4 linked regions of the Rhinolophus ferrumequinum genome follow. The protein of the gene in region 2 interacts with the protein of the main gene of each other region in a pairwise test. Links are inferred from orthologs where the notes say so. Each region holds a gene or a part of one and is shown on either strand. Other genes may lie near its edges. The genes, in order: PDLIM7, ENKD1, MID2 and PNMA2.

What was found.
Region 1: the proteins of ENKD1 (region 2) and PDLIM7 interact in binary tests that used the Homo sapiens proteins (3 or more experiments, as listed by UniProt). The two-hybrid records come from large-scale screens. The link is inferred for Rhinolophus ferrumequinum from reciprocal best matches to the Homo sapiens genes ENKD1 and PDLIM7.
Region 3: the proteins of ENKD1 (region 2) and MID2 interact in binary tests that used the Homo sapiens proteins (3 or more experiments, as listed by UniProt). The link is inferred for Rhinolophus ferrumequinum from reciprocal best matches to the Homo sapiens genes ENKD1 and MID2.
Region 4: the proteins of ENKD1 (region 2) and PNMA2 interact in binary tests that used the Homo sapiens proteins (3 or more experiments, as listed by UniProt). The two-hybrid records come from large-scale screens. The link is inferred for Rhinolophus ferrumequinum from reciprocal best matches to the Homo sapiens genes ENKD1 and PNMA2.

What each region holds. Positions count from the first base shown.
Region 1 is NC_046307.1:5,128,640-5,135,857, reverse strand, and holds the start of PDLIM7 (PDZ and LIM domain protein 7), read right to left. Parts: upstream 3,181-7,218; 5' UTR 3,061-3,180; intron 2,101-3,060; 5' UTR 2,090-2,100; coding exon 1,994-2,089; intron 1-1,993. UniProt on the Homo sapiens protein: May function as a scaffold on which the coordinated assembly of proteins can occur. May play a role as an adapter that, via its PDZ domain, localizes LIM-binding proteins to actin filaments of both skeletal muscle and nonmuscle tissues.
Region 2 is NC_046298.1:17,287,662-17,295,469, forward strand, and holds the start of ENKD1 (enkurin domain-containing protein 1), read right to left. Parts: upstream 3,024-7,808; 5' UTR 2,840-3,023; coding exon 2,704-2,839; intron 2,609-2,703; coding exon 2,414-2,608; intron 1,828-2,413; coding exon 1,655-1,827; intron 701-1,654; coding exon 575-700; intron 486-574; coding exon 322-485; intron 222-321; coding exon 85-221; intron 6-84; coding exon 1-5. Other genes in the region: C15H16orf86 (uncharacterized protein C16orf86 homolog), read left to right, coding at 3,283-3,387, 3,611-3,840, 4,190-4,422, 4,526-4,935. UniProt on the Homo sapiens protein: Microtubule-binding protein which regulates microtubule organization and stability. Promotes the stability of astral microtubules and facilitates the proper orientation of the mitotic spindle.
Region 3 is NC_046284.1:46,733,712-46,741,887, forward strand, and holds the start of MID2 (probable E3 ubiquitin-protein ligase MID2), read right to left. Parts: upstream 3,217-8,176; 5' UTR 3,109-3,216; intron 3,044-3,108; exon of another isoform or gene 2,427-3,043; intron 1,908-2,426; exon of another isoform or gene 1,889-1,907; intron 1-1,888. UniProt on the Homo sapiens protein: E3 ubiquitin ligase that plays a role in microtubule stabilization. Mediates the 'Lys-48'-linked polyubiquitination of LRRK2 to drive its localization to microtubules and its proteasomal degradation in neurons.
Region 4 is NC_046301.1:40,887,478-40,895,647, forward strand, and holds the start of PNMA2 (paraneoplastic antigen Ma2), read left to right. Parts: upstream 1-5,134; 5' UTR 5,135-5,270; intron 5,271-5,286; exon of another isoform or gene 5,287-5,382; intron 5,383-7,987; 5' UTR 7,988-8,170. Other genes in the region: DPYSL2 (dihydropyrimidinase-related protein 2), read right to left, coding at 4,420-4,773.

The sequences.
Region 1 (7,218 bases), on a different chromosome or scaffold from region 2:
ACCCACAGGCTGGCTCCTGGGAGGTGGGGGCTGAGACTGAGGTGGGGGTCCTGGGGTGGGCAGGAGCAGCTGGCTCCCAGAGGGGGTGGGGAGTAGGAACTACTTCCTTCCCAAGAGTGGGAATGAGGAGGATAGGAAGCACGTGAGGGGTAGGGGAGTGGTCAGAGCGGCGGAGAGAAAAGCAGGAGAACTAGGATAGTAGGAAGGGATGGTGACTGGAGAGAGAAGCAAGGAGGCCAGAGCGACCAAAGAGGGGGAAAAAGCCAGGGGGCTGGACACTGCATGAGGTGGGGGGTGAGTCAGCCTGAGGGCTCCACTGAGCAGCCCAACCCCCCAGTCCCAGACGTTACCTCATCTCCCAGGCCTGGGCCCACAGCCAGCCCTAGTCCCTCCCTCCATGCTGGGGTCAGGGGAGAGGGAGAGAACCGCCCCAGCTCATAAAAGACCACCCCACCCACCCACCCACTAGGGCCCAGGTCCAACTCCAGGGCTGGGCTCAGCTAGTGGTCCCACCCACATGCTAGGGCTGCTGACAAGGGAGCCAAGAGTGCCCCCAAAAGGCCACATCTGAAAGTACACCCCCCAGACCACTACATTGCCCATCCCGTCCAAAGAAGAAACTGAGGCTCAGATGCCAGCCAAGGCCTACAGCTCCCCAGCCACACTAGCCAGCAGTTTCCCAGGGAGGGGGATATAGGACAGGTTTCCAGGGCTGCAAGGCTTGAGGATTGTACAGGGGTGTGTGTATGTGTGTGTGTGTGTTAGGGGGACCACTGCCCTTAACTACCCTGCTGACCGGGCAGTTTCCAGGGGAACCCCTCGGAAAAGTCCCTGGGAAAAACGGTAACCAACTCCCTGCCCTGGCCACCAAGCCCAACTCCCACAGACCTACTCCACCTTGGGGCACCTCTAAGGCTGGGCAGTGCCTGGACAACCTTCTGGCCCCCTCTGGGCTGTGCTTGCCCTGGGCTTCCTGCCAACAGCTGCCTGCCCACCAGATGCCTGGGTGGGCCTCTCTGGACAGGCGGATGTGGGGGCAGGAAGTCCCCACCCCCTCCTAACCCCCAGACTAGTCAGACTCCAGCCCAAGGGCTGACCTCACTGTGCCTAGGTAGGCAGTTTGTTCTCTGTGCCTTACAACTGGAGCCATGGACTGGTAGTCACCAGCTGAGGCACCCACTGATGGGCTTCAGGGGTCCAGGCCTAGGCAAGCCTTTTTGGGCTCTGCAGACTATAGCCACCAGTTAGCCATCCCAGTGTGGGGCTGCATTCTTTGGCTTATAAGGCAATCCCCCTGCCACAGGGAGGAGCCAGCCCCCAGCTCCGCCCCCACCAGGGCAGGCTCTCAGGAGCTGGTCAGAGCCCTACACCTCATTCCACACCCACTAGGGGTCAAAGGTCACTGCATCCAGTAAGGGACCAGTGGGTGGGGATGGAGGTCCTCACATAGGCTGGAAGACCCACCCGGAGTCCTACCCACAAACTGCAGCTATCCTAGTACCTTAATGCCAATTCCTGCTTGACCATGGACTCAGAAAGAGCCCTTCCATCTCTCAGCCCTGAGTTCTCATGTGGAAAACCACGATAATAATGGCTATTTCCTGGGTGGCAAAGAGGTTGAAGTGAGATCCTGCAGTCAGAGTGCCCTGCCTGGAGCCTGGCTCCAAGTATTGCTCCCTCAAGCTGCTCAGACAGTTCCTAGAGACCTCAGGTTCCCCTCCTGCAGAAAGGGCACCCCTGGGGCCTCAGAGGTGGCCCCAGGAGCTTCCTGGAGTGGCATCAGATACAGTGCAGTGCTGGGGAAGTGTGGGGGCTCCTCTTCCAGTAACCCAGTTGGGAGTCTTCATGGCAGGTGCCCCCCACACCTCTGGACCCGGATACCTCCTGGCCTATTGGCCCTGGTTCACTCCTGCTCAGATCCCTCCCACACTCCCCATACACACTGGAGCACCCAAAGACTCCTGAGGGAGACCCTCCCCCAACCTAGGCTTACCCGGGAGATGGAGAGGGGCACATTGAAGTCCTTGCCTCCCTGAAGCCGAAAGCCCCAAGGTGCTGGCCCCTCGAGCACCACCTTGAAGGAATCCATGGTGCCTTCTCCTGAGAGGAGAGAAAGGTGAGTGGCTGGTATGGTGGGTACACAAGCACGTGCAGCTCCATACACCAGCCTTGGACTGATGCCAGGCAGGCAAGGGCAGATGCTGAGCACACCCAGGGCACAGGTAGTCAGGCTCCTCTCCTTGTCAGGTCTGGCTGGACTGTTGGCTGGCAGGTCTCACTTTGGAAAGACAGGAACAACCCCCCTCCTCCAGGGACTGTTGAGGGTGAGCAGAGCCCGCATCTAGCTTTTAGGTTCTTTTCATCCAGGAGTGGGCGGCAGAGCTAATGTGGCACGGCCTCCCCCCAAGCCAGCCTTGAGTTTCGTTCGGTGGGGTGAGTCAGGGGCCGGCGCTCCTCTCCCCCGCCCCCAGGTCCCAGCAGGCAGGCCGCGGCTGGAGCCTGCTCGGACTATATAAGGCGTGTAAGCTGACACTGTGCAGAGAGCCAGCCGAGGGAGCACCCGGGGGCTCGGGACTCCGGGGGGAGGGGGAGAAAGGGAGGGGGCTGGAGCGGGTCCTAGCCATTCCGGGACCAGTCGAGCCAGGGCGGGACCCCTGGGCGCTGGGGGTTGGGGGCGGGCAGGGGTGCGGCCCTTGCGGAAATCGGTGGGGGTTGGGACCCCAAAGCATGGCCAGGAAGGAGATTCATCCTGGGGCTCAGTGGAAGTGGTGCCTCCCACACAGGCCTGCTACATCCAGACGTGACTCAGTTTCCCCCTGGTTCCCCTGCCTGGGCCCCACAATATTGGACAAGTCCCGGGGGCAGGAAGCAGGGCAGGCGCCAATCGGCCCCGCCGCAGCCGGCTTCGCCGCAGGAAGGCGGAGGCGGAGGCGGGGTCGAAGGCAGGGGCCCGCGCCCGCGGGAGGAAGCTCAGTGCTGGCCACGACCCCTAAAGTCCTCTGTGCTCCCTAGCAGCCCCCTCCCTGGCCCAGCCCAAAACTCCCGCGCGGTCACCGGTACCTGCTCTGCCCCTCCGGGGCGCTGCTCGGCAGCGGGCTCAAAGGAACCGCGTTGGGACTGGCCGAGGTGTTCTGACCCCGCCCCCGCGTCCGCCGTCCGCTTTGAGACCGCGGAAGGGGGCGGTACCCGAGGCCACGCCCCATCGAAGTCACGCCCCCTACTGGCCTCTCCGGCGGTGGGAAGCTCCACCCAATCCTTCCGCCCCGCCCAATCACGAAGTCCCATCTCGCTTTGAGCTGGAAAACACAGCCCGCCAGGGTCCCCTCGCCGGAGCGGGGTCTGGGCGGGGTCTGGATGGAGTCTGGGCGGGGCCTGGATTGCGGTCTGGGCGGGGCCTGGGCTTCGCGACGCCGCTCGCTCAGCCCCTTGCGCCTCCTATTGGTCGACTGAAAAGAAAGCCGCCTTTGGAAACAGTCGTCTCTGAAACTTAATTTCCTCCTCGGAAAAATGGGACGATAATGCTCGTTTCACAGGGCCGCCGTGAAGACAAGCATTGTTTGGCGTAAGGCTCAGCCATCGGCGGCTGAGGGAATTGGTGGGGGGCACACATCGAGTTGGTGTCAGTTGAAGGGGGAACAGGGAAATTTGAAGCTATGTTTGCACAGCACTGAAAGCAGAAAGCAATGGTAGGAGTGGGTGGAAGTAAGAGGAGGGGCCCCTTGGCTGGGCCCTGAGCCTGCCCTGTGACCCTGCCCTCTGACCCTGGTCGGTTAGCACGGCTCAGGGTTGGCCCCACACTGTCGAGGTGGGATGTGTCCTGGTACTCCGTTCCAAAGCGGGCAGCGCCTCCAGTGGGGGTGTCAGAGTCCCCACTTTGCTCCTCCGTCCCTGCTCAACCTGGGCAGCAGCGTAGGCGGAGAGGAGGAAATTGAGCAGAGACCGGGAGTGTGCGGGTGAGTGAACTCAGCTCCTTCTAGGACATGGGCACTGCAGTTCGCCCCCTTCCGCCATCATCTCATTTCCCCCCTCTTGTACATCATTCCCCTCACTACACAAACTGCTGTACGAGTCTCGTGTTTAAAGAAATCCTCTCTTGACCGCACGTCCTTCTCCAGCTATGGCTCTTTTATTTTACTCCCCTTGAGAGTGAAATTCCTCGAAGGAATTCTGTCATGCTGTCTCGACTTGCTCTCCTCCTGTTCTCTCTTGAACCCACTCCAGTCGGGCTCTTGTCCTCCCCACTTCAATTCTCTGAACTAATTCCCTCTTCTCAAGGTCTCCAAAGACTTCTGAGTTATCAAATCAGTGGTGCTTCTTCAGCTTTCCTGTGACTCTACCTAGGAACAGCACTGGTCCAGGCGCACTCCAACTTTCCCCAGCCTCATCCCTCCTCCTCCATTGCTGCTGCTTCTCCACCTCCTTGGAAGGTCGTCATCTGTCCCCCAGCCTGGCCATCAGATCTTTCCGCTCTACACTTCCTCTCTGAGACCTCCTCCTGTCCTGTGGCTTTCAATACCACCCATATGCCAAGGACTACCAAGTTATGTGTGTAGCCCTGACCTCCCCGCAAGATCGCCAGGCTCTAATAGCCAACCACCTGTCCAACCTCTCTACTTGATGTCTACTAGATATCGCAAATCATTATGTCCCAATTTAAACTTGTGATTTTCCCACTTCCCTAGCTCCTTCCTCACTTCAGTAAATGGCACCACTGTTCATCCACCTGGTCCAGTAAAAACTATGAAGTTATCCTTCCTTCCTTTCTCTGTCATACTCCAAATTCTGCAAATTCCTCCTTCAGAATATGTTCCACATCTGGTCACTACTGCCACCATCGGTGCTGCCACCCATCTCGTGCCTAGACCCCTTAACAGTCTTCTAACACATCTCCTTGCTTCTATCCTGACCCACTCCAGAATCTTCTCCTTGCAGCAGCCAAAATGATATTTTTAAAGCAAAAATTGTAGCACATCACCTTTGGCTTTTAGCATTCTGGTGGGCTCATGTTGCACATAAAATTAAAGTCCTTAAGATGTACATGGCACTAATAAACTGGTTCCACCTCCCACCTGTCTCCTCCTCAGTCACTCTACTCCAGTCCCTCTGGCCTCCTCACTGCTCCTCCAACACGTCAAGCATATTCCTGCCTCAGGGCCTTTGCACTTGCGGCTCCTTCTGCCTGAGACATTTTCCCCCAGTTATCTAAACAACAGGTTCGCTCACTTTGTTCAGGTGTCTGCTGAGATGTTGCCTCTGAGGAGCCTTCCCTGATTCATATTATCTAAAACAGCAGCCCCCTGACACCTCACCTACATCATGCACTAGTCCCTATCCTGCTTTATTTTTCCCCAGGGCACTTACTACCATCTGACATTATATTAAGTGTTTGTTTCTTCATTGCCCTTTGTCCCCATTAGAATGTCAGTCCCATGAGATCAGGGGCTGTCTGTTTTGTCCATATTTTCCCCAGTGCCTGCACACAGTGTCCCTGCTGTGAAGGAAAAAAATGAGAGGGTGAAACAGAAATTGAGCGAAGGAAGAAGGGTCAGCCGGGGGGTCCTGGCAGTCCTCCAGCAGAGAGGACCCCAGGATCTGGTTCCTTGGGACTGTGCAAGACTCAGACCTGGAAGGCCACCAGATCTCCCTGCATAGGCAGCCCCTGGGTAGGGAAAGGCACTGGGCTAGGACACACTGCCCCCTCGTGGCCAGGACACTTGCAGCGGCAGGGCAACGACCCTAAAATCCCAGAAATCTGTTTCCAAAGACTTTTGCTTCCAGTGTGGTGGGAAGCTCACAGCCACTGCCATGAAACAAAGAGGCTTCGATTTGTAATAAAGGGAAGCACACCAGATTGGGTACTCAGAGTCCTGGGTCCTTTCTGGCTATGTCCCTGACACTCTCGGTAACCTACAGTGTGAACTGGGATTTGCTGAGCTGGCAAGGGCTGGATTGCCACCATGGGGTGGAGGGGTCCCTGCAGCAGACACTTGACTGGAGCCTCCTTGTCTCAGCTTGCTCTACGGCAGGCAGCCAGATGGCTCATGAGAAGACGTTACCATCACAAGGAAGGTCCATAAGTGGAGCCAAAATCTGCCTCCCCGTGGCTGAAACATCCTTTCAGGCTTTGCCATCTGTGGCCACACTGCACGCAGCCCCTTTCCCCCAGCCTCCCTTCACATGACATTTGGAGATGAATCTTAGACACCCAGAATCTTGAACAGCTGCACACTTAAATCCAGAGCTCATTGGAGAGGTTTGCACTGAAGGTACGCCACGTCTGGGAGACATGGAGACAGGATTGGCTCACTTAGGGCTGTTGTTCTGAAGCCTGGCTGCACTCTGCAATCACCTGGGGAATTGAAGAAATGGCTGGACTGAAGCCCTAGCCCCTGGGTGTGGGCCCAGGCGTGGGCATCTTTTAAAGGCTCCCAGGTGATTCCGTGCAGCCAGGGCTGAGTCACACTGTGTCGGAGGCCAGAGCCCTAGGCAGAGCTGGAGCAGGGGAGGAGGGAAACGAGTGAAGGAGGAGTGTCAAGTGCTGCTGAGACGTGGGGCGAGTCCTGGTCCCAAAGGGAGTCCAGCGGCTTTTGTTTTGGGGAACAAGGAGGTTGGTGACCCTGATAAGAGCAATGTAATGGTGTAGTGGGCACCACGGGGAGACGAGTCGGAAGGAAGAATGGAGGAAAGTGGAAATGAGAGTAATCAACAACTCTTTTGAGGACTTTCTCTGTGAAGAGGAACAGAGAAGTGGGGAGGTGCTGAAGGAGAATTTGAGGTCAAGGGAAGGTTTCTTTTAAAGATGTGAAATTATAGAGCATGTTGGTGAGGCTGGAAATGAGGAGGATGGAATTAACGGGTCGAGGAGAGAGGAGACAAGTCAGTTTGCCGAGCTGTGAGGAGGGGAGAAGAGCTGGGGTCAGAGCACGGACGTCTTGGGAACAGACACTTCTTCCAACATAGGTCGGGAAGACAGTGCAGGTGCACTTGTAGGTGGGAGGAGGTGGAGGCGCTTCACTTCTGTGGGCCACTCTTTGTTTGGATATCTGCAAGGTGGGAATGGGCAGGGGTGGAGAGAAGGTGAAGGTCTTGGGGAGGGAAAAAGCAGCTACTCTGGTTTTCCCAGGTACTCTGGTTTTCTCCATGCTTCACAGGATCTCTGGGCAGCATGGAGAGCCTGTCTCCGTGAGGTTTGAGATCACGCTGGTGAAGAGAGTGCAG
Region 2 (7,808 bases):
CTGGCCTACAGTGGGCCCAGGTGGTTAGTGTTGGGCAGGGGTACCTGGTCCCCAGTGAGTTCCCCATCCAGCTCAAATACTCACTCTGCAGCAGATTGCTCAGTGTTTCCAGCCGCTGGTTCTCAGGCATGCGAGTGTGGCCAGGGGGCATGGTAGGGTCTGGCTGGCTATGTTTGCGGGCCTCAGCCTCCTGCCGCCACAGATCCCGGCGCTCCAACAAGCTGTGGATGCACAGGCTCAGGGTTGATGATTCCAGGGCAGATGTTGGCTCCCACCTGCCACAGGCACCCCTCACCCTGGGTGTTCGGCAGTGGGACCTACTAGTGGGGCACGTGGCCCTTCTGTGTGGCATTGTAGTGCTCCTGGGCTTGCTGTTGCTGCTCCAGCACCTGTGTCAGGACTTGCAGCGAGCGGGAATGCCGCCGGGGGGCCCTCTTGGCAGTGCGGGCATTGTGGCTAATGAAGTCCACACCCAGGCCTTGCCCCTGCAGGACATGGCAGCATGTGGACAGACAGCACTGTGTTGTGTCCCTGAACCCCCGCCCCACCTTCCAGCCCCCACACATTCTCTCACCTTGGCATTGGGACCTAGTGGGGTTAGCTGGGGACTGGGGACACGGGGTGGTGGGAGCCCAGGGCCGCAGCGGGAGTGCGCCCGCAGGAAGTGGGCAGGCTCTGTTCCAGAGGCAGGGCTGGGCTCCTGGAGGGCAGAGCATAGAAGAGGGATCAGTCAGGCTGCGGTCAAGGTCTCAAGACCGAGCCTCTATCCCTAGGGCTATGGCCTCCTCCTTTTTGAAGGAGCACTCATCATGATTATCATATAAACATGTGTACCTCTCACATCCTTAAGAAAACAACAAACCGTCCATCCTACCTTAATCCTGGCTCCAGCTACCATTCTCTTTTTCTCTCCTTCCTAGTCAAGCTTCTTGGCTCTGTCCCCAAGGTCATTAACAGCTGGCCTCCAAGCCCTCAAATCCGGGTCAGTTCCCTGGTCTCATCATCCTTAGTCTGATCCTCAATAACTCCTGATTCTCACTCCTGAGATCCAGACCTGACTCTCCATCTGGTTCTTGGACACACTCGCACCCCCTGGGAGTCCCACAAATGCTTCAGCTTCAACACATCCACATATGACCTTATTCTTTACTCTCAATCCTGTTCCTCCTTCTGAGACCTCTGTATGGAGAAATGGTGCCACTATCTACCCAAGACAGAATCTCACCACCATACCCCTGCCCCTGACCTTCGAAAAAAAAAGTTGAAAAGGGGGTTATGTGGCCCTTTATGACGTGGGTCCAGCTGACTTCTTAGCCTAACTCTGTGCTCTTCTCTCCTCACAGTAAACTGTACACAGCACCCCCACTGCCCACACTGCCTCTAGTCTTAGGACTTCTATCTGTGAGGTTTCATCTTTACGGAATGTTCTTTTCCATTCTCCCCTTGCCTAATTCCTACTTGCCCCTCAGGCTCACCCAGCCATCACCACTTCTGAGGATCCCCAGAGCCACCTTGCTGCAGAACCAGTTCTCTCTTAAGTCTCCTGTTACCTTAGTCCCCTGTGATTTTCCTCCCTCCCCATAACTCAGATCAGGGTATAACTGCCTCTTGGCCAACAAGATGGACAATACTTCTGGCTCCCTGAGGCAGGTACCTGCAGCTGGGCCTTGACCCGGGATTCCACTTTGTCATACTTGGGCGAGCGCCACAGAGCCTTCAGGGGCCTGGACTGGCCCTGTTCCCGGCTGCGCTCCTGCTCGCGGAAGCGCTTCTGGATTTCCTTGATACGTCTCAGATTCTCCTTCTCATGGTCTTTAGGTTCCTTCCCTGGGGAAAAGATGTTGCCAGACTCGCCCTGCATACAGCCCATGAAACCCAACTTATACAAGTTCACACACAGGCCCACACCTTGCCTCCTACAGAAAGATCTCCCTGACTTCTCCATCTAAGTTAGATCCTATACAGATACTCCATCTTACCACCTTGTTTCCTTCCTGACGTGGTAATTATCTTCTATCCTTGATTATTTTATACATTTTTATTGTGAGGTACACCATTAATCATCTTATATATAATCATCCCTTCACTTGTTCATTGTCTCCCACCTGGACTCCGTGATGGCCTGTGCTTGTCTTAAACCTTATTGTTTTCCTAGCACCTGTTGGGCCTGGCACAGAGCAAGCGCTCAACAAGTTTCACTGATGAATGAATTCATAAAGCTGATCTACGGTTTCCTGGGGACTACCTCATTCAGTCCTCTCCTGTAAGGAGGTAGTGCATTTTCCCCTCCCTTTATAGTTGGGGAAACACATTCAGAAAGGCAAAGCCTGAGCCGTGGTCAGGGCCGGAGGAGCAGCTTTTGATCTCTTTTTAACCTCGACTTGCCTTGCTGCCCCTTCTGCCCAGAACTTACTCTTGGGAGAGGCCTCTGGGCCTAGGGAGATACCCCCAAGTTGCAGCAGCATGGCCCCCACGCCGCGCCGACCACGCTCCAGAATCTCTACAGCTCCAGGACGGATGCGGGGGCCGCGGGGCGGGGTGACGTCCAGGTCCGCGTCCGAGGTCAGCAGGTCCAGCTTCGGCGTGTTTCCCTCAAGGCGCCCTTGGGCTGAGGGGCCGGACAAATCAGAGTGCCGCGTTCAGTGGTGGAGAGAGATCCGAGGTTCGCTCGGGCCTCGCTCAGCCGCGGCACCCTCTACTCACCCGAGGCCGGCCGTCGGTAGTAGTCAGGACAAAGCGTAGGGTCTGGGGGGATGGGCCCCGAGATGCGGGACAGGCCCTCGCACATGCCGCCGCCGTCGCCCTGCAATGTTGCACCGAGGCCTGCCGGGCTAAACATCTCGGGCCCCCGACCTCCTCTCTGGACCCGGACCTTGACCCCGGCGTTGCCTCCATTCCCGGTCCCCGGCCTGCAACTAGCCGCCTCCGCTCCTAGCCCACTTCCCTGCCCCGGTCGTGGCCCCTCCCTCTCAACACCCGGGCTGGGGGCTCACCAGAACAGCTTTAGACTGCCCGCAGCTGCCACCCGACGAGTTTGCTGTTGCCAGGCAACAATGGTTTCCGTCTGAGGTCAGGGGCTAATACCCCGACGCAAAGGTTCCTGGGGTTTGTAGTTCCAGCTGAGGGTAGGGGCTAGAGTAGTCTCCAGTCGCCCTTCCCACCCCGGCTCTCGCCTCCCGGTCGGTCTCCCGCGTCAGCGAAGGGTGAACCTGTCCGGCCCCTCGGGGCCCGTCCACCTCTTCCCATCAGCAGCCGTCGAGGATGCGCTGACTCTGCGCAGCTATGGCCTCGGCAGGGGCCGAGAGGCGCCCAGGGGCCCAAAAGGGGACGACTGAGGGGCCCGTACAGCTTGCGGAGGCGCCCGGTGGCGGTGCTCAGAGCTCTGAGGTGACCTACAGGTTGTCTAGCCTTCAAACTCTTGGTCGTGGCGCTCTAGGAGGCCAAACTCTGTGCGTCGACCCCCTAACGGCCAGGACAGGCTCCATAGGCGGGCAGGGCCATGGGCTGGTGCCCTTTATTCACGTTTGGTGTCTAATGTTGGGTGTTTAATGACTGATCCCTGTATCATTTGACTGGCCATGGTGACCAGTTACCTGTGTGTCACCTCTAGTGTCCAGTGATGGGAAACCAGTGCTTGGCGCCAGTCCATGAGGCCAGTGGGACCCTCGGTGAAGACAAATGTCCAACAGGACCAGTCTCAGAGCCAGAGCTCCAGGAGGAACCATTCAAGCTGGAGGAAGAGAGGCTCAAGCCAGAGGTGGAGGCACTAGAGGAGAGAAGCCCCAGGCCTACGGCCTCCATTGTGAGGTCCAGTCATGGTCTGAAGAGGAAGCCAGTCAAGTGAGGGGTCTTTCAGAGGGAAGAAGCTGCAGGGCTGAGGGGGGTTGGGAGGCTCACACCCCGGTAGGATTCCTAAATCCTGCAGTCCTGCAGTGTGTGCATCTTTATTCTCTGCCACCACCATCACTCCTCACTCCTTCTGTCCCTCAAGAGTCCTGGTGTAGGGAGCATTCAGAGTCTCAAGGCCTTGCAGGGTCTGAGCTCACATGAGCTCTCAGCTCTGGTCCAGGCTGGGGCCTCACTGACCAGGAAAGGAACACGAATCTGGGCCCAGGGTGTGGGGAGGCAGGGCTATTCCGCAGGCTCAGGACTCAGGAGCCAAGGCTGGAATGGAGGCGGCCTCCTCAAGCCTCCTGTCCCCCAGCCTCCCAGGGCCTAGCCACCAAGCCCATCCTAGGGCTGAAGCTGAGCTGCCACAGGGGCCGCCACAACAGAGGGAGGACCCGGAGGGTGGTCGGAGTGAGCCCTCACCGACTGCCAAACAGCACAAAAAAGCCAAGAAGCGCAAGAGTCCGGGGGCCCCAGTGCTCCCAGCTGTGGCCAGCATAGTATCTGCACCCTCAGAGACCTTGGGGCTAGAGCGTGAGTAGCAGTCCCTGGGCCTTCCTTTTTTCCCCTGCCTGCTGGACTCCTGACATGGCACAGCTTGGTACTCCAGCCCCCGTTCTGCCCTGGATCCTTGCAGGAAAGGTCCAGCGCCTACGGCCTCTGTACCAGTACATCAACTATTGCAATCCTGAGCTGAACCAGGCAGGGGAGGGGGACAGGGAGGCTGAAGCCGAGGTGGAACCTGAGTGGGAGCTGACCCTGGTCCCCGAGGAGGCAGGTGTGGAGCAACTGCCAGCCTTGCTGCCTGTGGCAGGTGAGCTTGGCTCAGGCCTCACTGTGCCCTGCCCCACTATGTCCGTGCCCCCTATCCATGCTATGGTTCCCCTGGGGGAGGAGGCTGGAGAGGAGCCTGGGGGTTTGCCCAGCTTGGGGGTTAGCAGCAGCCCCAAGGCTGAGGTGGATAAGTCAACTCAGGTGGACATCGACAAGATGCTAAGTGTCTGTGCAGCCCCACTTGTACCCCCACTTTCTCCTCAGTACAAATGACTGTCCTACCCCCTGGTGGCTCCCTTCCTCCCAAGCCTGAACCAGAGCAGCAGCCTATGGGCTCAAGCCCTCGGGAGGAGGGGGGAATATAGCCCCTGCCCCTACTTGGCACCTTGGACTTGCTGAAAATAAATGTTTTTCCTTTTCTCAGACTTTGACTCCCCAAATAAGGTGCCTGAAGAGGGAGAGGCTGGGAAGGAGGGTGGAGGATTCCCCAGTGCAGGGTTTGAAACTTGACGGGTCATTTGGATTGCCTAGGAACTCGACAAAAATGTAGATTCCTGGGTACTGCCTCAGACCTAACTGAATCAATCTGTGGGGGTAGGGACTTGTTCTGTGCATTTCAAGTCTCCGATGAACCTGAAGTTCGGACAGGATAATGGTGGGGATGGAGAGGGAGGTGATGAGGAACTTGGGGCAAAGAAAGGAAAGGAACTGGCAGGTCATGGGAAGCAGGTGCATGGCCTTGCTGTCTCCTGGGAAGGGGTCTGCATTCGGTCTGACCTTCAGGGCACCAACACTTGGGATTCTCCCCTCTGAGGTGGCAGAGTCCATTCGCCTGCCCAAGAGTGGAAGCTTTGGGATGCTTTCCACTTATTGTTAGATCACAGCTGGACCACACTTTGCCCCCAGAGTGGCCCCTGGTGCCTATTTCCTGGCAGGCAGAGAGTGGTGGTGGTGGTGAATGGTCTCCCTGGAGCCCTGAGGCCAAGCCACCAGATAACTGCTGCTTCTCATCCTCAGGGGTCTCTGGAAGAGGTGGCCAGTGCCGGCCATTTGGAAACCCTAATACCCTGCTGTCTCCTCGTCCTACTGCATGTCCCTCAGACACCTTAAAAACAGAATTTCAAATTAAACGAATAATTCCTCCTCCTCTCAACCTGCTTTTCCTCCTGTATCTCATCTGCGCAATCATTCAAGCCAAAATCCTGGTGTCACCCCAGACCCCATCCTGTTCTTTGCTTGTTGACTCCTACAAGCTAATCAATCATCAAGGCTGGTGAACCTACGACACACACATCCAAACCCCGGATGGTGTTGCTCCCCGTCTAGTACTCTCATCTAAGCCCAGCTGCTTGTAACTTTTCAGTGGTTTCCTATCATTCCCTGACCAGCCACACCTTTTCTTACCTTCAGTCTCTGCACATGGGGCTTCCCTGTCTAAAATGCCTTTATTCCCTCACCCCTCCACTTGGCTAGTGCACATGCACCCGTGAAGATTCAGGGCACCTTGCTTCCTGCGGAGCTGGGCAACTCCCAGTGTTGCCCTGCATTAAAGTAGCCACATACTACTGTCCTTGTGGGTCACAGCTGTCTTCAGGATGAGACTGAACTCCCCAAGGGCCCGTGTCATTGCATCACATCCACTAGCAGAGGACCCCCATAAAAAGCATAAAAAGATAAGGAGACCAGGTGGGGACCTGAGGAAGCTACAGAGGGATAGGTCAGGATCTGAAAAGCGGAGGCCATCCAACGTCCAGAGCCATGTGTGGGACCTGGAATAATGGCCTGGCAAGGTCATTGGAAGAGAGAAAACGGGCATCAGCACGGGATGCTCCCTCCTTTAGGGGTCGCTTGGATGCTCACCAGCCCCTTGGCAAGGCCACAGGGCAAGCTGTGCGTTCTGGACATATTTCTTCTTCCTGTTGACACTTTTCCCTGGTTAGTGATTTGACCACCCCAGGAAATACTGTCCACAGAGACCATGCAGACTGAATATTGTCCACAGGGATGAGCATGGATTCTCAGGGATTTTTCAGAGATAGAGGGTCCTTCAAGATTACTGAGCTTGACCTCCTCTTTTTATGGCTGAGGAAGCAAAGGCCTGGAGAGAAGTGGCCTTGTATGAGACCACACCCTGGGCGCCAGGGAGGCCCCGCCCCTTCCTGAGCCCTGCAGATCTGTGGATCTGGGGGCTCTGGTGAAGACCTGACCCAAAAAGGCTGAGCATCTGCTTTCTCTGTGTGGTCTCCAGGGCTAGAGGTGTGGACCAGGCCAGCACTGATAAGGAAGCTCTGTCCTTACCTTCCACAGGTGACAAAGGACACACTCAGTAACTATAGAAGAACGAGGCTACATTTCCCGACACAAAGGAACAAGTCACCACTACTGCTCCTAGACGCTCACTCTAAGGGAAAAATGCCGAAGCAGCATGGTGCAGAGACATGTGCCATGGAAGACCTGAGGAGCAAGACTGTGGAACCACAGGTGGCGGAGGTGACTTGTCACTATGTCTAGGGAAGCAGTGAAGAGGCAGGCCTCTAGCTGACTCCTGAAGGAGAGCTGGGTGGCCTTCCAGGCAGAGGATATGCCAGGCACGAAGCCTTGCTAGTGTGGAAGATGGCAGCTCCATGCAGGAGGGCCACTTAGCATGGCGGAAGCAGGCCACCAGGAGACCAGGTTGGGTGAATCTGGGAGTGATGAGGGAGGGGTGTAGGTAAGGAGGGCTCTTGGCCTGACATTTTGGAGATGTCGCTTGGGCAGCAGTGTGCAGGACAGTGTGAGAAAGGGAGAGACTGGGGACAGGGAGGTGAGGAGACTACTGCTATTGTCTGGATACGAGGTCTCGATTTGGAAAGGGGTTTCCAAAATAAGCAACAGGTATTTTGGAAGTTCTCTTCTGGTTGCCATACCACAGAGGAAAAGTTAACCACATTTTCTCTGGCTTGGAAAAACTTTACTTTGACCCAAGGAAGATCCTGAGATTTGGGAATCAGGTCCTGGGAGGTGATGCTGTCTTCCTCCAGGAGAGGGCGCTGCAGGACAAACCTGGAACCAGTTGTAGGCTCAGTCACCCCTAGGGTTCAAAACCCTGCTGGCTTCCTTGGTTACAAGTTTCTGGACCCAAGAGATATATGATGGCAACAATGGCT
Region 3 (8,176 bases), on a different chromosome or scaffold from region 2:
CAGCAGATTTTATGGGAGGAGGGATGAGGGAATGGACAGGCTCAGTACCCAAAGCAATTTTTGGATGCAATTATGAGACTCCACTGGCACTGCTTTAGGATCTGCAAGTTGGAGCAAGTTGCCCTGCACTTAAAGAGGAGGGATTAACTAAACCAACTTCATCTAAATCAATTTGCACTGTTCAGATGATACATTCATGAAGCAACCAAGTCATTCTGATTTGTGGCAGGAGTTCTGGGGGTGGCCATGCAAGGTACAACATGCTAGATGAGAAGTCTAGTAGTCATGAAAATCAGTAAGAGAAACAATCGCCCCTTCATATGCCTCGCCTCTACCCCTGCTCCACACAGCCCCTCCCTGTCCTAATCCTGGAACTGCAAGTAAGGAGGTAGGCCTCAAACAAGCAGGGTGCCAACTGCTAGGCCAGGGCTGGGGCCTCAGCCCAGTCAGCAGAGGCCTCTGAACATTATAGGTGCTTAATAAATATTGTTGACTCACCGCTGCTAGATACTAATCATGCTTATAGAGCCATGCCTAAAATTATTTATGCCACTTTTCAGTAGAAATTAGCTAACTGCCCCCCATAAAGGCTAAAAATGGGTGAGATTACCTTTTCAAATGCATCTGACTCAGATTGTTAGGTTGGAGTACACTAGGTATGATTTAAGCCTCGACTTAAAATAATCACCATTAGTCTGTATGCTTAGTTTTACGTATGTTTCATTCAGTTGTATGTGCATTAGATAAAATAAAAAGGCTAAGGACCTAAGTACAGTGATAGATTTGGCTACAGGGGGGCTAATAATGGCAAGTTAAGATTTCCAGTAAACTAGGGTTCCTACTTATACCTAGTCAATCTATTGTCCCAATAAAAAGGTAAATGAAGCACTTTCTTTGAAATGTGTAGTGCTGAGGGTTTACAGAACCCTATTATCTTCAAAGGACCAAGTCACGACTCACAAAACCCCAGTACACTATATTATGCCTTTTACACAAATGCATCAACTATGAAAGAAAGGTCATAGGAATGTCCTCAGGCCAATGTAACATCAGATTTGGGACAACTCTCTGATCTTCTTAGCTCCTAGACCTCTATTTCAACCACATAAATCAAGTTGTGAGGAACAATCAGGAAAAATCTAATTCACATTATATATCTGCATTAAGTTAATTGATTGGACAGGAATATATAAAACAGCAAAGACTGTTTCCCCCTCAGGCAGTCATGAGTGGAGAGGGGTGAAAGGGGGGATGTAATGGTTCGGGGTAGAGCAAGGAGTAGGGGAGGAACTCTCCTCTCTTCACCCTTTCCCTTCTATTGGAACATGGCCAGAGAACTGATACTGAGAAGGAACAGAGTGGGGTTAAAGGTAGCCCTCATGGCCCAACCTGAGAATCGGAGGAATCAACCCACACACAGTACTTGTCTATTTACATAGTCTCCAATATATTCTTTTATAAGGGCTCCTCCTCGGAGACACACAACCATCACTACCCACCGACCCCACACTCAGAAATCCTGAAATAGGGAAACTGGTTGAGAAGCAAGAAGCTGCATTGCTGGGCGGCTGGGAGTACACAGGTTGATGGGGGAAAGGGCCTGTGGGATGGCGGGGTGGGGGGGGGAGATTTGGGTGGGCAGGTAGGTGTATGATGTTGTAGGAAGGTGCGTGAGTGTGAAGGCTGTAGGAGAGTGTAGAAGAGAGAAAGTGAAGAACCACCGACCCCAGGATCCCAATTTCCTGCTCTGAGAAATGTCTCCCAGAAATAATGTGCTGCGCATGAAGTGCTAAGTAACCTAAACCTTATCATCACCAAAAGTGTTTCTGAAAATCTACTCCACCGTTATTTACTTAATTCTGACAAGCCAGGAATGGAAAAAACCCACCTCTCCGTGATTCAGTCGCAGTCTATCCAATGGACCTATGTAAGTTTCCCCTCTCCCTCCTGAGCTGCTTTCAGAGCTAGGCCAGAAATAAGGAACCACCCAGACGGAGACTCAAGGGTCGCTCCCCTGGCAGAAAGGGGATTAAGTTTCGCCGGGCCTCCCCGCCGGCAGGGTGTCCGCAGCATATCGGGCTGCGACACCAGCTACCGCCGGGCAGACGGCCGGCCAAGGGGCGCCAACAGGGCCGAGGAGGCTGCCGGCCGCGGGAGCGTGGGAAGGCGCTCGTGGGAAGGAGCCGCTCCACTGGCCGCGCTGGGCCCGGCCCGGCTGTGAGAGAGGCCTCGGGCCGCCCCCGCCCGCAACCCGGAGTGAAAACTCCGTCCCAGGAGGGCAGCAGCGACGGGAACCCGGGGCTCCACGGCGCAACGTGGAGTCAGGGCCAGGACGGGGCCCCCGCCGCCGCCTCGAGCCTCTCGGGGCCCGTCACCCTGCCCCGCAGAGCCCCGGAGTCCTCGGCCCGCGCTGGTCCCAGCCGCACCTGAGAGGCGGCTGGAGCCGGGGCCGAGCCCTGCGCCGGCGGGGTGCTCGGCCCCCGGGGGCCGCGGCGAGGGGGCGCGTTTTACCCAGAGCGTTCCCGGGCGCCGGCCATCTCCTCAGCGCGCCCCAGGGCGCAGGGCGCTCGCCTCCCTCCGCCGCGAGCTGGCTCCGGCTCCGACGCTGGCGCGAGCTCCCCGAGCTGCCGCTGCCGCCGCTCTAGGCCGCCGCCCGCCTTCGCCTTCGCTGCTGCCGCCGCGCAGCAGCCGGGATCCGCCCGCCCGCGCGCCCCGCAAGGGACAGCACGGCGGTCGCGACGCTCCAAACTTAAGAGTTTTAGATTCGCCCCCTCAGTCCAGGGGCAGCACCATGACACCACGGCAGCTCCACACTGTCATTTCCGCCGCCGCAGAGGGAAAAAAAAAGCAATCCCTTCGAAAAGGGGGTGGGGTGGGGGCCAACAGGGTTGGGGCTGACGCCCAGAGGGAGCACGGACAAGGGCCCGGCAGCGGGGGCTCTCGGCCACCTTCCCGGCCTCACCTTCAGCCTCCCCCGCCGCTCCCAGCTACCCCAGCCCCTCCTCTGGAGGCGCGTTTACATGTTTTCTCCCCAGGCAGGAGTGACGGGAGAAACCTGACCAAGCAAAGGCAGCGGGTGGGTGGGGTTCGGGTTACTACTGTACCTACCAGCTGATTCCAGCAGCCTTTTCTCCAGCGCCCTGTCATCTTGAAGGAAGACACACGGAGAGGTGCTGAGCGGTCGTGTGTGTGCGCGCGCGCGCGCGCGCGCGCGCGCGAGAGAGAGAGAGAGAGAGAGAGAGAGAGAGAGAGAGAGAGAGAGAGAGAAAGAGAGAGAGGGAGAGAGAGCGCAGAATGTGTGTGAAATACAGAAGGCAACTCTTCTGCCACCCGCCAAGCCCCTGGTCCCACAAACCCCCAGGTTGGAACACGGAAAAGACCCTTGCAACTGGCAATGAGAGAGTGCCCAGGCCCACCGCACAGGTCCCCGGATGAAGCTGCTCTATGCAAAGTTAACTACAGAGTAAAACAAAAATAGTGGAGGAGACAGAAAAAGGCAGACAATTGAAGGAAACCCAACCCCTCTTTCTTTTTACGAAAGGAGAATGGCTGTGTTTTATTGGCCTTGGGCAGAAGTTGTGGGGATGGAATAAAGCCACCAAAATTAAAAAAAAAAAAAAGGTTTCATTTGCACGCTCAAATCTTTGATGGACAAAACAAGAGGTTCCCTACTAAGAGAACAATGGGACAGATGCCAGCTATCCAGGTATTCAATGTCCCTAATAAGCTAATTGGTTCATCGGGAGCCCAGAAACTTCATTGGTCTGGAGTCAGCCTGGCAGCTGACCTGTCATTGGCTCAGAGACCACTGACCCACTCACAAGGACACCAGAGGGGAGAAGGAGGAGGCCCGGAGGAGATTCTGCTCCTAACATGGGGTAAAAAGGGAGATGAAGGGGAAAGAAGCTAGAAAATGGGAGGAAACAGCCCCGTCTCACAGAAGCCTCCAATTACTGTGCATGGGAATAAGTTCAGAAAAATTATGGTAGCTCTGGGTGTATCCCATCAGGGAACCAATAGTAATTAGGCATCACCCCATTCAACAATGTACTAGCGAGCACCGAGATGGAAATGAAGGCAAAAGTCACAACCAGACTATCCTGATGAAAGTCTGGCTCTAGGAGAAGTAAAAGTTAATGAGTTCAGTCATACCAAAAGAACAGGCAAGGTTAGCAAAAATAGACAGGTGGCAACTACATCAAACTTAAAATTTTCTGCACAGCAATAGAATCAACAGAACAAAAAGGCAAGAATGAAAATATTTGCAAACCATATATCTGATAAGAGGTTAATATCCAGAATATATCAATAACTCCTACAACCCAATAACAAAACAATAAATAGCCAGATTAAAACATGGGCAAAGGACTTGAATAGACATTTCTCCAAAGAAGACGTACAAATGGCCAACAAGCATATTAAAGGATGCTCAACATCACCAATCATCAGGGAAATGCAAATCAAAACCACAATGAGATATCACCTCACACCGGTCAGAATGGCCATTACAATAATAAGTGTTGGCAAGGATGTGGAAAAATTGGAACCCTTGTACACTGTTGGTGGGAACAGTGCAACCAATATGGAAAAAAACCTCAGGAGTACAGAGGTTCCTCAAAAAGTTAAAAACAGAACTACCATATGATTCAGCAATCTCAATTCTGGAAATATATTCAAAGAATTGAAAGTAGACTCTCAAAAAGATATTTGCACTCCCATGTTCATTGCAACATTTTTCACAATAGCCAAGAGGTGGAAGCAACCTAAATGTCCATTGGCAGATGAATGGATAAAGAAAATGTCATGTATGCATACAGTAGAATGTGGCATATACGTTCAGCCTTAAAAAAGGAGATCCTGCCATTATGCTATGACATGGATGACTCTTGAGGATAATATGCTAAATGAAATAAGCCAGTCACAGAAGGACAAACACTGCATGATCCCACTTACAGGAGGTATCTAAAGTAGTCAAACTCATAGAAACAGAAAGTAGAATGGTGGTTTCCAGGGGCTGGTGGGGAGGAGAGGTGGGAGTTGTGTTTCTGTGGGTGTAGAGTTTCAGTCATGCAGGATGGGGTGGCAGGGGTTTCTGGGCAATCTGTTGCACAACAATGTGCATGTGGTTGACAATATTGTACTGTACACTTTGAAATTGTTGGGAGGGTGAATTTTACATTATGTGGGTTTTTTTCTACGATAAAAAATTAATTAATTTTGAAAAAATTAATGGGTCAGAAGTAAACCGATCCTAGTATAACAGATGAGTGGATAAATAAGAATTATATATAGGCATTATATATATATATATATATATATATATATATATATATATATATATATATATATCAGATATTGTCAAATGAAAAAAGCAAGCTGTGTATGGTTTGCTACTACTTTGTAAAAAAATGGGGAGGGTATATGTCCACATATGCTTCTATATAGGTAGACTCTTCAGTAAAAATACCTAAAAAACTGATTACACTGTGGATCAAGCATAGGAAGGAAGAGTATTTAACATTGATATACCCTTTCCTATTGTTAGAATTTTTTATAATGTCTATGTATTACCTTTTCAAAAACAATTTTAAAAGAAGAAATAGCATAGAGACTGAAAGTAGAATAGAGGTTACCAGGGATTGAAGGAAGGGGAGAATAGGGAGTTATTGTTTCATGGGTACAGAGTTTCTATTTGGAATGATGAAAACGTTCTGGAATTAGAGGGTAGGGATGGCTACACAACGTTGTGAATGTGCTTAATGCTACTGAATTGCACACTCAAATATGGTTAAAACGGTAAACTTTATGTTATAGTACCCTCCCCCTTTGTCCAAAGTTTAGCTCTCCATGGTTTCAGCTACCCATGGTCAACTATGGTCTGGAATTATTAAACGGAAAATTCCACCTCACGTCATCTCAGCATGTAGGCGTTGTATCATCTCACATCATTACAAAAAGAAGGGTGAGTACCGTACAAGATATTTTGAGAGAGATAGACCACATTTATATAACTTTCATTACAGTATTATTATAATTATTCTATTTTATTAGTAATTTTTGTTGTTAAACTATTACTGGGCTTAATCTGTAAATTAAACTTTATCGTAGATATGTATGTATAGAAAAAAACAGTATATGTAGAGTTCAGTACAATCCATACCTTCAGGCACCCACTGGAGGTCTTGGAACATAATCCCCCGTGGATAAACGGGGACTACTGTATGTATATTTTTCCCACGATAAAGTAAATTTAAAAAAAAAATAAAAGAACGAGGAAGTGTACGAACAGATAGATACTATTGTATTTGTGTAAGACATTATATATATATATATATATATATATATATATATATATATATATCTCCATGAATGCATAGAAAAGAACTTGGGGCACACTGTAAATAGTGTGAGCCTGGAATTGTGGTGGGTGTTGAGGGAGATCTTTCAGGTTTGATTCTATATATTTTATAACTGAATATTCTACCATGAGAATTTCTTTTGTAGTTTAAAAAAGGTTAAAAAAAAAAACTAAGTTGAGTCAATCGATCCCTTAGAATTCTTTAACCTCACTTGATATGATCCCCACAGATAGCTGGAGAGTTTTCTAACATGTGAAGAAGTGACCACTTTCATCGCGGACACACCCAAGCCAAGCCAACCAGCTCTTGGCAGAACTAGCACTTAGGGGAGATTTGCTTTTAATGCCCTGTCTTGTCCTTTAGAAACCACCCTGCCCTTCACTTTTTAGCGGTGTCCCCTCCACCTGAGCTGCCAGTGCTTTCAAGCGAGTCCCTGGCTGACCGGAGCATTATACAGAGAGCCCGTGTGCCACCCCCTTCCCTCCCCAGGCAGCAGCCCATATTCTGGACCTTTCCTTTCCCGTCTCAAAACTTAATAGCTTCTGGGTCCCTTTTATAAAGGACCTTACTGATTAAGGATTAGTAATTTGAGCTTAATATGAATAGCTTCATTTGTCTCTCTATTAGTAGATAATGTTTTAATTTTAACAGAGATTTTCGATGTATTAACTGAAAGGAACGACTGACTAATAGTGTGTGGGTTGGGATGGGGGTTGGGGAGATTTTGATAATCACATCACATAAGCAGCTGCTTTGAAAATATCCCCACTTCCAGTGGTTTTATGCATTGTCGCTGTAATGTATGAAAATAAATGTTTTGTATCTGGCAGGCGATGCAAAATTGGCTGGGAGCATGTGATGAAATTATTTGTTTATAATTATTTAATGGTTACCTTTTTATATAACATGTGTTGATCCTATTAACAAAATAAATCAGTCCCGTGGGGGAAAAAAGACGTTTGACAGATTCAGCTTGAGGTGTTTAATTGAATTAATCTGAGGCAGATTTACCACACTACAGTCCTAGAGCATGAAAGGGACAGCTCATGGGCTCTTTTTTCCAGCTAAGAAGGCGGGGAGGGAGAGGGGGAATGGCTCCAGATACTTTCTACAGAGAGAAGCACAGAGCCCAGTCTGTTTCAGAAATAAAAAATCACAGAACGGAGATTTTGTTGCACAAGAGAATTGTTCCTTCTGCAGAAGGGAACCTTCATACTGTTCTCAAAAGAAGCAGCTAGTTGTGTGAAGTCCAGAAGTTGACCTGAAGGCTTTTCTAACCAGGGGGCTTAACAGGATGGTGAGAAGTACTTTTGGCATGGGCTTATCAATAGGACATTGTTCTAAAACTAGTTGTGAACAGGCCATGTCGGCTGCTTAAGAGACAGTGGTTCAAAATAAATGTACCCAGTATGGAGAAATGGCATATTCCGGGTATTTTTTATTCTTCTCTGATCCATATTTTGGTAATTTTAAATTAATTTTGTAATTTATCTGAATTGTTGTGTTTGTTACAATAAACACATACGTTTGGTATCTATATTACATTGGTAAATATTTTCCTGGAGTCTTAATTAGTCTTCAGATCCAAGCCTAAACCTACCTGCTGGCCATGCCTTCGTAACCAGCACCCCAAGTCACTTGGAGTCTGGCTTCTGTGATGCCACATCCTCCTGGTTTTTCTCCCATCTCACTTCCTGTTCCTCAGGCTCTGCTGTTTCCTCCTCCTGCTCTTCTGTCTCCCAAGGTTGGGGTGCCCCAGGCTCAGTCCTTGCTTCTCTTCTCCATCTATACCCACTCCCTAGGTGACCTCCTCCAGT
Region 4 (8,170 bases), on a different chromosome or scaffold from region 2:
TTCACAGAGACAAAGTAGAATGGTGGTTGCCAGGGGCTGGGGGAAAGAGGACATGGGGAGTTATTGTATAATGTGCACAGAGTTTCAGTTTTGCAAAACAGAAAAGCTCTGGAGATGGGTTGCAAAACAATCTGAGTATATTTCACACACTGAACTGTACACTTTAAAATAGTTAAAATGTTAAATTTTATGTTATGTGTATTTTACCACAATTAGATGGGGTTTTTTTTTTTAATTTAACTAATTATATGATTAGTTAAAAAATCATCTAGGAAATCAAGAACAACCAACAATTATGGATTATTACCATTTCCTTCTCCTACCCAAGCCCCTCTCTCCTTTTGAACCCAGATGGGTCTTAGGTATATTGGAATCCTGAACCATAAATGTTCATATTTGTGTCTCCTCTTTCGAAACAATGTGGCCTCTAAAGTATCAAATTAATGCCCTTGTTCTAGGCTCCCAGCCAAATCTCTACCACACATCCTGCTAACTAGGCATTCATTTTGTTGAACAGGCTAATCTATTATCAAACACATATCTCTGGGGACAACTTGTGTATCAGTCATTCACGGAAGCGATGGATGCCTTGAATCATTGGGATTTCTCTCTAGCTAAGATTAACACAAGGAAGGGATTTTGAATGAGAGAAGGGAGGGCAAAAGGGAAGAGAGTGATTTCAGAACTCGTTGCTTTTGGAGGAAGAAAGCTCTAGAAGGGGCATCGCCATCACAAAGGGGCAAGGGTAGCATTAAACATTAAGAGGGCAGCAGAGTCCCTGGGCACCCAGGGCTGAGAGCTCATCAACATGGGGAGAAAGAATGGAGACATAGAATGGAAAGGCATATCAGAAAGTGTTTTACAGACTTGGTGGTTTTGTCAAGTTCAGCAGCACTCTCATGTAGTTCCCTGACTGGCACCTGCCCCCAGAGAAATGGACAATCAGTCCCCTACTACCCTACTCTATGTAGGCTGTTTGCTGCAGGGAAAAGGGCCTGGGAGCCCCATTGGAAGGGATGCTCATGATCCAGTTTCCCTGGTGGGACAGCTGGTTCTGGCTAACATGTGTCTGAGGTAGAATGGAGGGAATTCTTAGGTGGAAGGGAGGAGGCTGAGGGACCCCTGGGCACTAGCAGGAAAGAATACAGCCAACAGTAGTGTCCTTCTGCTCTCTATTGCAAGAGGCTCAGAGTCCCTAACAGGTGGTCACCAATTTAACTGCACTGCAGCCCAAGATGGACTTCCCCCAAGGAGACAAAGGGAAAAGAGAGTAATGTGATAGAAACTTTCCTCATTTGCACTCATGACACTGGCTCTTCCTTTCACCAAAACCTAACATCCCAGCCCAAGCCACACCGAGTGCTTTCTGGTGCTGACTTGTTGACATTTGCATGCTGGGATACATGCAACTCAACATCCCCTAGTCGCCCATAAGCCATGTGGCATCCAGGCTCTGGAGGCGTGTTCCCTCCCTTCCCACCACCTTACTAGAGGAACAGCAGAACTCCTAGGGTGGCAGGTGGGCAAAGCCCCTCTGCATGCATTAATAACACCTATAAACACAGATTTAGGGAAGGAGGAAAGATGTGAGATCCACTCACTCTAGTGTATCCCCCCACCTCTCTATGTGCCAGGGCTTCAGATAAAAACATACTAAGATATTGGCTGTCACCCTACTCATTAGCTGAAAACTACCGTGTTTCCCCGAAAATAAGACCTAGCTGGATCATAAACTCTAATCCATCTTTTGAAGCAAAAATTAATATAGGACCCAGTCTTATTTTTCCGTAATATATTTTACTATATAATATTGTATATATTATTATATAATATTTTACTATAAGACTAGGTCTAATCTAACATAATATAATATAAGACCGGGTCTTATATTGATTTTTGCTCCAAAGGAAGCATTAGAGCTGATTGCCCAGCTAGGTCTTATTTTCGGGGAAACACGGTAAGTAATGGCTACCTGATTCAGTCAAAATGGTGGGCCCAACTGTACTTTTGGAAATCACCATTGTTACACACACACACACACACACACACACACACACACAAATGGCTTTTGTGTCTTGAATAGTCATGAAATATTCAAACACTGTTAAGTACTGATCCTGGTAAATACTCTTAGTCATGAATGAAACAAATCCCAAAGGAACAGCCCTTACATGATAAGGCAAGATTGAAAATGAAAATTCAGGGAAGGCAGCAGAAAGACCAAGCCAGAATCACCCTCTGCAACTAATAACCAGGCAACTGAAGCAACTTTGGGTTTCCAGAGGCTAAAACTGCCTAGGGTTTGGTTTCCTCTTCAAATCTCCCTCTCCATGTGCTCTAGGTTTATCGTTCCTATTAAATTTAGAAAGTGTTCAAACAAGTAACTCTGATGATCAAATATTGGAACTTCTAAATGCATAGAAAAAGAGACGTGTTATTCAACCCAGTGAAACTTTGCCTTTCAAATCTGAGTTTTAATTCACTGCCATCATTATCAAGAAGACCACTGTCAACCAGCACCCCTTGAGCGGCCATTTTTAAAAATGATCTCTTCCTTATCGTGAGGCATTTCTCTGCGCCCTTTAGGACATTAGAATTACCAGCACAACTTGTTTAAGAGGAGGACACTCACACAAACGTGTGAGTGGCACTAGAGGTTCTGCTGTTCCTGCTATAATGATCATGGTTTGGCCCTCACCTAGTGTATTCACGTAGGAAAGCATTTCACACTCACCCAGCTTTCGTTTTAAGTTACATTACTAGAAGCTTTTACTTCAGCTGTCTGATCACTTGGTACAAAGTAAGTTTTCTGGATTAAGTTCTTCTGGTTGACTGATAGTGAAACGCGGATATCCGGTGACCCCTCCCCCATATGAATAAATCAGAGCACAGGGCTGGGAGAGAAGGAATTAAGTAATTAGTTGCCCCCTTTTGAAAATGACAGCAGATGGTTTACCTTTCCTAGAATTGGTCCAACAAAAGTGAAAAGCTGCAAAATTCTATGCCACATCAGGAAAGAGCAACATGTTTGTGCCATGAGCACCAACTCTTCGTTGTTCTCTGATGTGTTCATTAAAAGCACATTGTCTGAAGCCCCGGCAAATAAATGCTTGTGGAATCACTCAGTGACTATGTATAGGCCACTCCCAACTACTCTGAAAGCCCCGTAAGAAGAAATCACCTTGAACTTTTTCTATATAGCTAACTTCCCCCTGCCCCACAAGGCAAGGCACACAATAAGTATTCAATAAATAATCAATCATTGACTGATTTCTCATTTTCACCAATGGGCCTGGGAAAGAAACAGCAAACAAATGTTGAAACAGTTCACACTGTAATTTATCAGTTGAGGAATTAAGGCTCTGGGGGGGCTAGAGGGAATGCACAAGTATGAAGGTCACCCTGATAAAGAAAAAAAAAAAAAACAACTGTGGTGTGAGAAGACGACTGCTCTTAAAATGCACGCTGTTCTTATTCGCCAGAGATGACGAACATTTTCTAAAATCAAGGTTTACCAAATTGGTCCTCTTTGTTTCCCCATTAACACTGTATGGAGGGTGCCAATCCATCTTTGACACTGGATCCAAAATGTGAAGGTTTTTTTCCCCTTTTCTTTTCACTCTTTGAACATAATCCACTTGGTCCCTATCCCCAAAGCGCCTCCCACATAGGGCGGGTTGGGGGGAGCACGCTGGGAAGCCCTTGCTTTAATACTTAGCGGAACTTTGTTCTCCACATGGGCTATTTAGGAGCGTCTGGGTTTCTTCGGGGGACTCCACCGCCTGCCTGGTTCTTCTCACGCAGCACACTGGAGTCAGGGTGATGAGATTCTCCAGGGCGGTCCGGGAGGCGCTGACCATGGTCCTGGCCTCCAGCTCAGGACGCGAGCGCGGAAGGCAAGGAAGGAGATGCTGTAGGAGAGCGCGCGCAGGGCGCGGCGGGGAGCAGCCGTCGAAGCCCCCGCCCCTCCTGACCCCCAGGGAGCCCGCCGGCCTTCATGCAACCCTCCACTGCATGCCCAGAGCTGCATCCAAAAAAGGGTGGGGCACCCAGACACAGTTGCCATCGGAAGGCGCCCGGGAGGATTTAAGAAGAATGGAACCGCGGCCCATCCCCATCCCCCACCTTGCGACCCCCAAGCAGAGGATCGGCCGAACCTTTACCATCACCACCCATCAGGCCCAGGAAAGCGCGGGCAGCCTTTGTGGGCGCACGGCTGCCACAGTCAAGCCCGCGCCTCTCCATACCTTTCGCGGAGAAGGGGCGGGTTGGGTGGGGTGCGTGTACATATGCGGGGAGGGGCAGGACGGTGGGCACGCTGGGATGCTCGGTTCTCCACCGAGCTGTGAGGGGGGCGACGGAGGGGCGATCTCTGCGCCGGGTCCTCCTTCTCAAACACCCCCACCACCCAATACCAACCTGGTCGTAGATGTTCTGCAGGGCTTCCTTGCCCGAGGCCCGCCGGATCTCCACCTTCCGGCCGGATTCAACAGATGGCTCCCCACCCGCGCGCCGGCCCTGCCGGGAGTACGGTGGCTGCGGGTCGGGACCCAAGTGGGCGACGTCCCGTTGCTGAGCCACCACCTGCCCCGAGCCCCGGCCCACCGACAGTGAGTCGAAGTCGATGGTCTTGTTCTCCGAGGACCCTTCTACCGGGCAAAACATGCCACAGAATTTCTGCCGGGGCTTGGGGCTGCCTGAACCCAGGTTTTTAAAAAAGGCAGGGACCTCTTCGTCCTCTGCCGCCTTCCCGGATTGCTTCCTCTCGGCCATGGCGCGGGGGGCTCGGGGAGGGTCCTCTGCGTCCGCCCGTCCGTCTACGATCCCTAAGTCTGCCTCTCTGTGCACAACCCTCTGCAGCGGCTGCCGCTCTCTGCCTACCGCAAGGTGCACAGAAAGGAAGGAGGGCTGGTGAGCGGGCGACCCTCCCTCCCGGTCCCTCCCCCTGACCCCTCTTTTTCCCCTCCCTGCCCACGCCCCCCGCCGCCACGCGAGCTCCGGCGAGCTGCAAAGTTGGGTCTGGGAGGGCGGCCGCTGCGGCAGCGGGAGTGACAGGCTGCCTGCGGGTTCCCGGCAGCTGCAGGCGGAGGGAGGTGCAGGCGGGGCGCGGCGGGGGCGGGGCGAGGCGCTGGGAGCTCCGGCCCGAGCTGAGCGCAAGGGAGGGGGGGAGGGTTGCACCGCCCAGAGCCCCGCGCTCCGGAAGTGAAGCTGCCAGACCACCGGCTAATGGATGGGGAGCGGAGGGCCCGCTAACAGCTCTCGGCTCCAGGGTGAGTATGGGATAGGCACGCTGGGCGAAGACCCGAGGGCGCAGCCAGCCCCTGGCCCTCGCGCCCTTCTACCTACGCGACCCAGGCGCCTCTCCCCCACCGCATTGCGGAGGTAAACCGGGGGCTAGGGCCCTTTATGGGGAGGGCTCCCTCCTCTTACCTCGGGCATGAGCTGATGGATGAGGAAAGGGAAACAAACTGGCTGGCGACAAGACACCGGGGGAGAAGGGAAGAGGCCGCAGTGAGGATGGGGAGGGAATGGCGCAGGCCGTGCGGAGAGGTGGGGGCCATGTCCCGATGCGCGGGACACCAAAGCTTCAGTCTACCTACGGGCTTTGGAGGGCTGTTGGGGGCAGAGAGTGAAACGAGAAGGTTCTCGCTCAGTGCATCCACAGTTGTGGAGGGCGCACAGCACGGCAGGGAGAAATGCAGAGGCGGAGCAAATGGTGGTGGATGTGGGGTATAAAGAGACATAGGTCTGCGTGCTGGCGAGTGTAGCCAAGAATACAGTGCAAATTCCGGCCCAGCACAACTAATACATAGAGAGGGTGCCTGAGGGCGCCACGTACCGTAATTGCGCCACTGCGCCACGAAGGGCCCAGGAGAATGTTCTGATTTGGTATCTTATGCCCCCACCCTCCAAAGGGAGGGAAAGGCACAGATTACAATCCACTCCCCAAATCTCCAGCCCTTACTTGTCTGCCTCCCCTGTACCCCCGCCCCTGTTGCGCACTGCGCCAGAGCCGCGTGCGGGGGCGGTGGGGTGGGGGCATATGTGCCCGCGCAAGTCCAGTGTGAGGTAAGAGATGGGGCTGTGACTGAATGCTTTGAATTGTATGAGGCCAAGCAGGGTAACGGTGTGCGGAGACGTGGTTGTGTATGTGCGGGTAGACCAGGCGCAGCTACCTGGTTGGTGGATATCCAGAGAGCGTTTTGATATGTGCCAACAACACCGTCACTGAGCGCGCTTCATTGCTCACTCCCATCCCCACGTACTTTCCTTGTATCAGTCTTTGCCCCTGGTCGATTACAGCCCCGCCCCTTTTACTACGGTGGCAATATCCTGCAAAGACGATGCCCATCCTTTGGTGGTTCTAGAGGGAAGTCTGGGCATGCTCAGTAACGAGGGTGGGTTTGGGCTAAAAGAGGCTGTTTGCCGCCCCGGAAAGTGTGACCAAGGATTCTGTCCCATTGTCAGCTCTTGCCCTTATTAGGATTCGATGTGGATACTCTCCCTCAACCCAAATGTGAGGGATAGTTTGGTGAATGGAGTTAAATTTGGAGGACCACCAGTCACAGTTTGAGGAAGAGCCCACCATGATAGGTGGGAAGGAGTCTCCTGATGAGAAGGGGAGAAGGAGGAAGGAGAACGATACACGTGTAGGGAGCTGAGAGACCCACAGGTGGACATTCAGACTCAGCACCAGATGTGCTTCTAATTTGAATAAAGTGCTTCCATACGAATTACATCATTTCCTACTTACGGCAGCCTGTGAGAGGAGTGCTTTTCCATCACTACTTTCCAGGGTAGGAAACAGATTTAGAGAGATTCAGACGCCTTGCCTAAGGTTACTAATTAAATGATCCAACAATCCCAGTGGGGGTCTTCCACCTGAAAGTATGGTCCCTTTTCCAAATTATCCTTATGTTAGAAAATACAAAATTTTTTACATTTTTTCCATATCCAAATATTTCCTTCCGTGGACTTACTGTGTATCAAAATTGGTGGTTCAATTGCCATCTTTTTATTTGACAGTTACCTTGCAGGTAGGGACTGCATTTGGAGGAAGAAGCCATGGTAGTTGTTCCATAGACCTTGGAAATGTTTCTTCCTGCACATTTGATGCCTTTTTACATCTCATGTTTCCTCTAAAACTACAACGTGAGAGGAAGGTCACCCCCACATTGAAAGGGAAAGGGAGGCATGGAGAAGTCACTGGGCTCAGATCCATGAGGCTGCTGGGCCAGGGCATTATCCATCATTTTGCCCTTCTGGACCTCGGGCACACTCCATGCCGCCAGCACCTTCCAGAAGGACTGAGGAAATGTGCCTGTAGCAGGAATAGCTGCCACGATGGCTACAGGTTGGCATCTGTGGCATATGGACCTCACTCGGCTTGATGGAGAGTTTCAGGCCTAAGGAAGAATGATCATGGCCGCTTAACACACGCGGTACAACAGAACTGGGAGACTTTAGGAACGCTTCCCTTTTTACATTACATTACCCACTCTCCACTGGCTCTCTGTAGATATGCTCTCTCTTTTCCTTTTTTCCTCAAATGATCCATTCAAGTTCAAATGCTACAACAATACTGTCTTATTAGTAACTTAACATTCATAGCAAAAGAAACACCTATTTGTGCATTTGCCTAGCCTGACCAGACATAACAAAAGAGCATGATTCATAATCCAAGTTTAACTTATTTGGCCCTGAGATTTTCAAAAATTATTAAATGTATATTAAATTCTTATACCTATATTATTATATTATATTAAAGTATATTATATAAGTTGTATTGTTATACTGACATTAATTGGTTTTAAGTATTCGAGTGATTTCTAATTGGACTTTTTTCATCAAAGAACTGAAGCAACTATATTGTTTAGTAGATTGAATTGTGAAGGATAGTCATATTTTTTAATAAACTCGCTGACAGTCTTCATCATTGGATATTATCAAACTATAAAAATACACCATTATTATTTATGTGCAACAGGGCAGCTTGACTTGGCCAGAGCTAAGAAGGATGCAGACACGCCATTGTATGGAGTTGGGTGACATCTTCATATAGTAGAAGCTGAATAAATCAGATCATCGACTCTCATGGAACATTGGAACACATAAACAGGTATCCAGCCACATCTCCTCATATCATTCTTCCCGTGGGAAAGATCTTGAA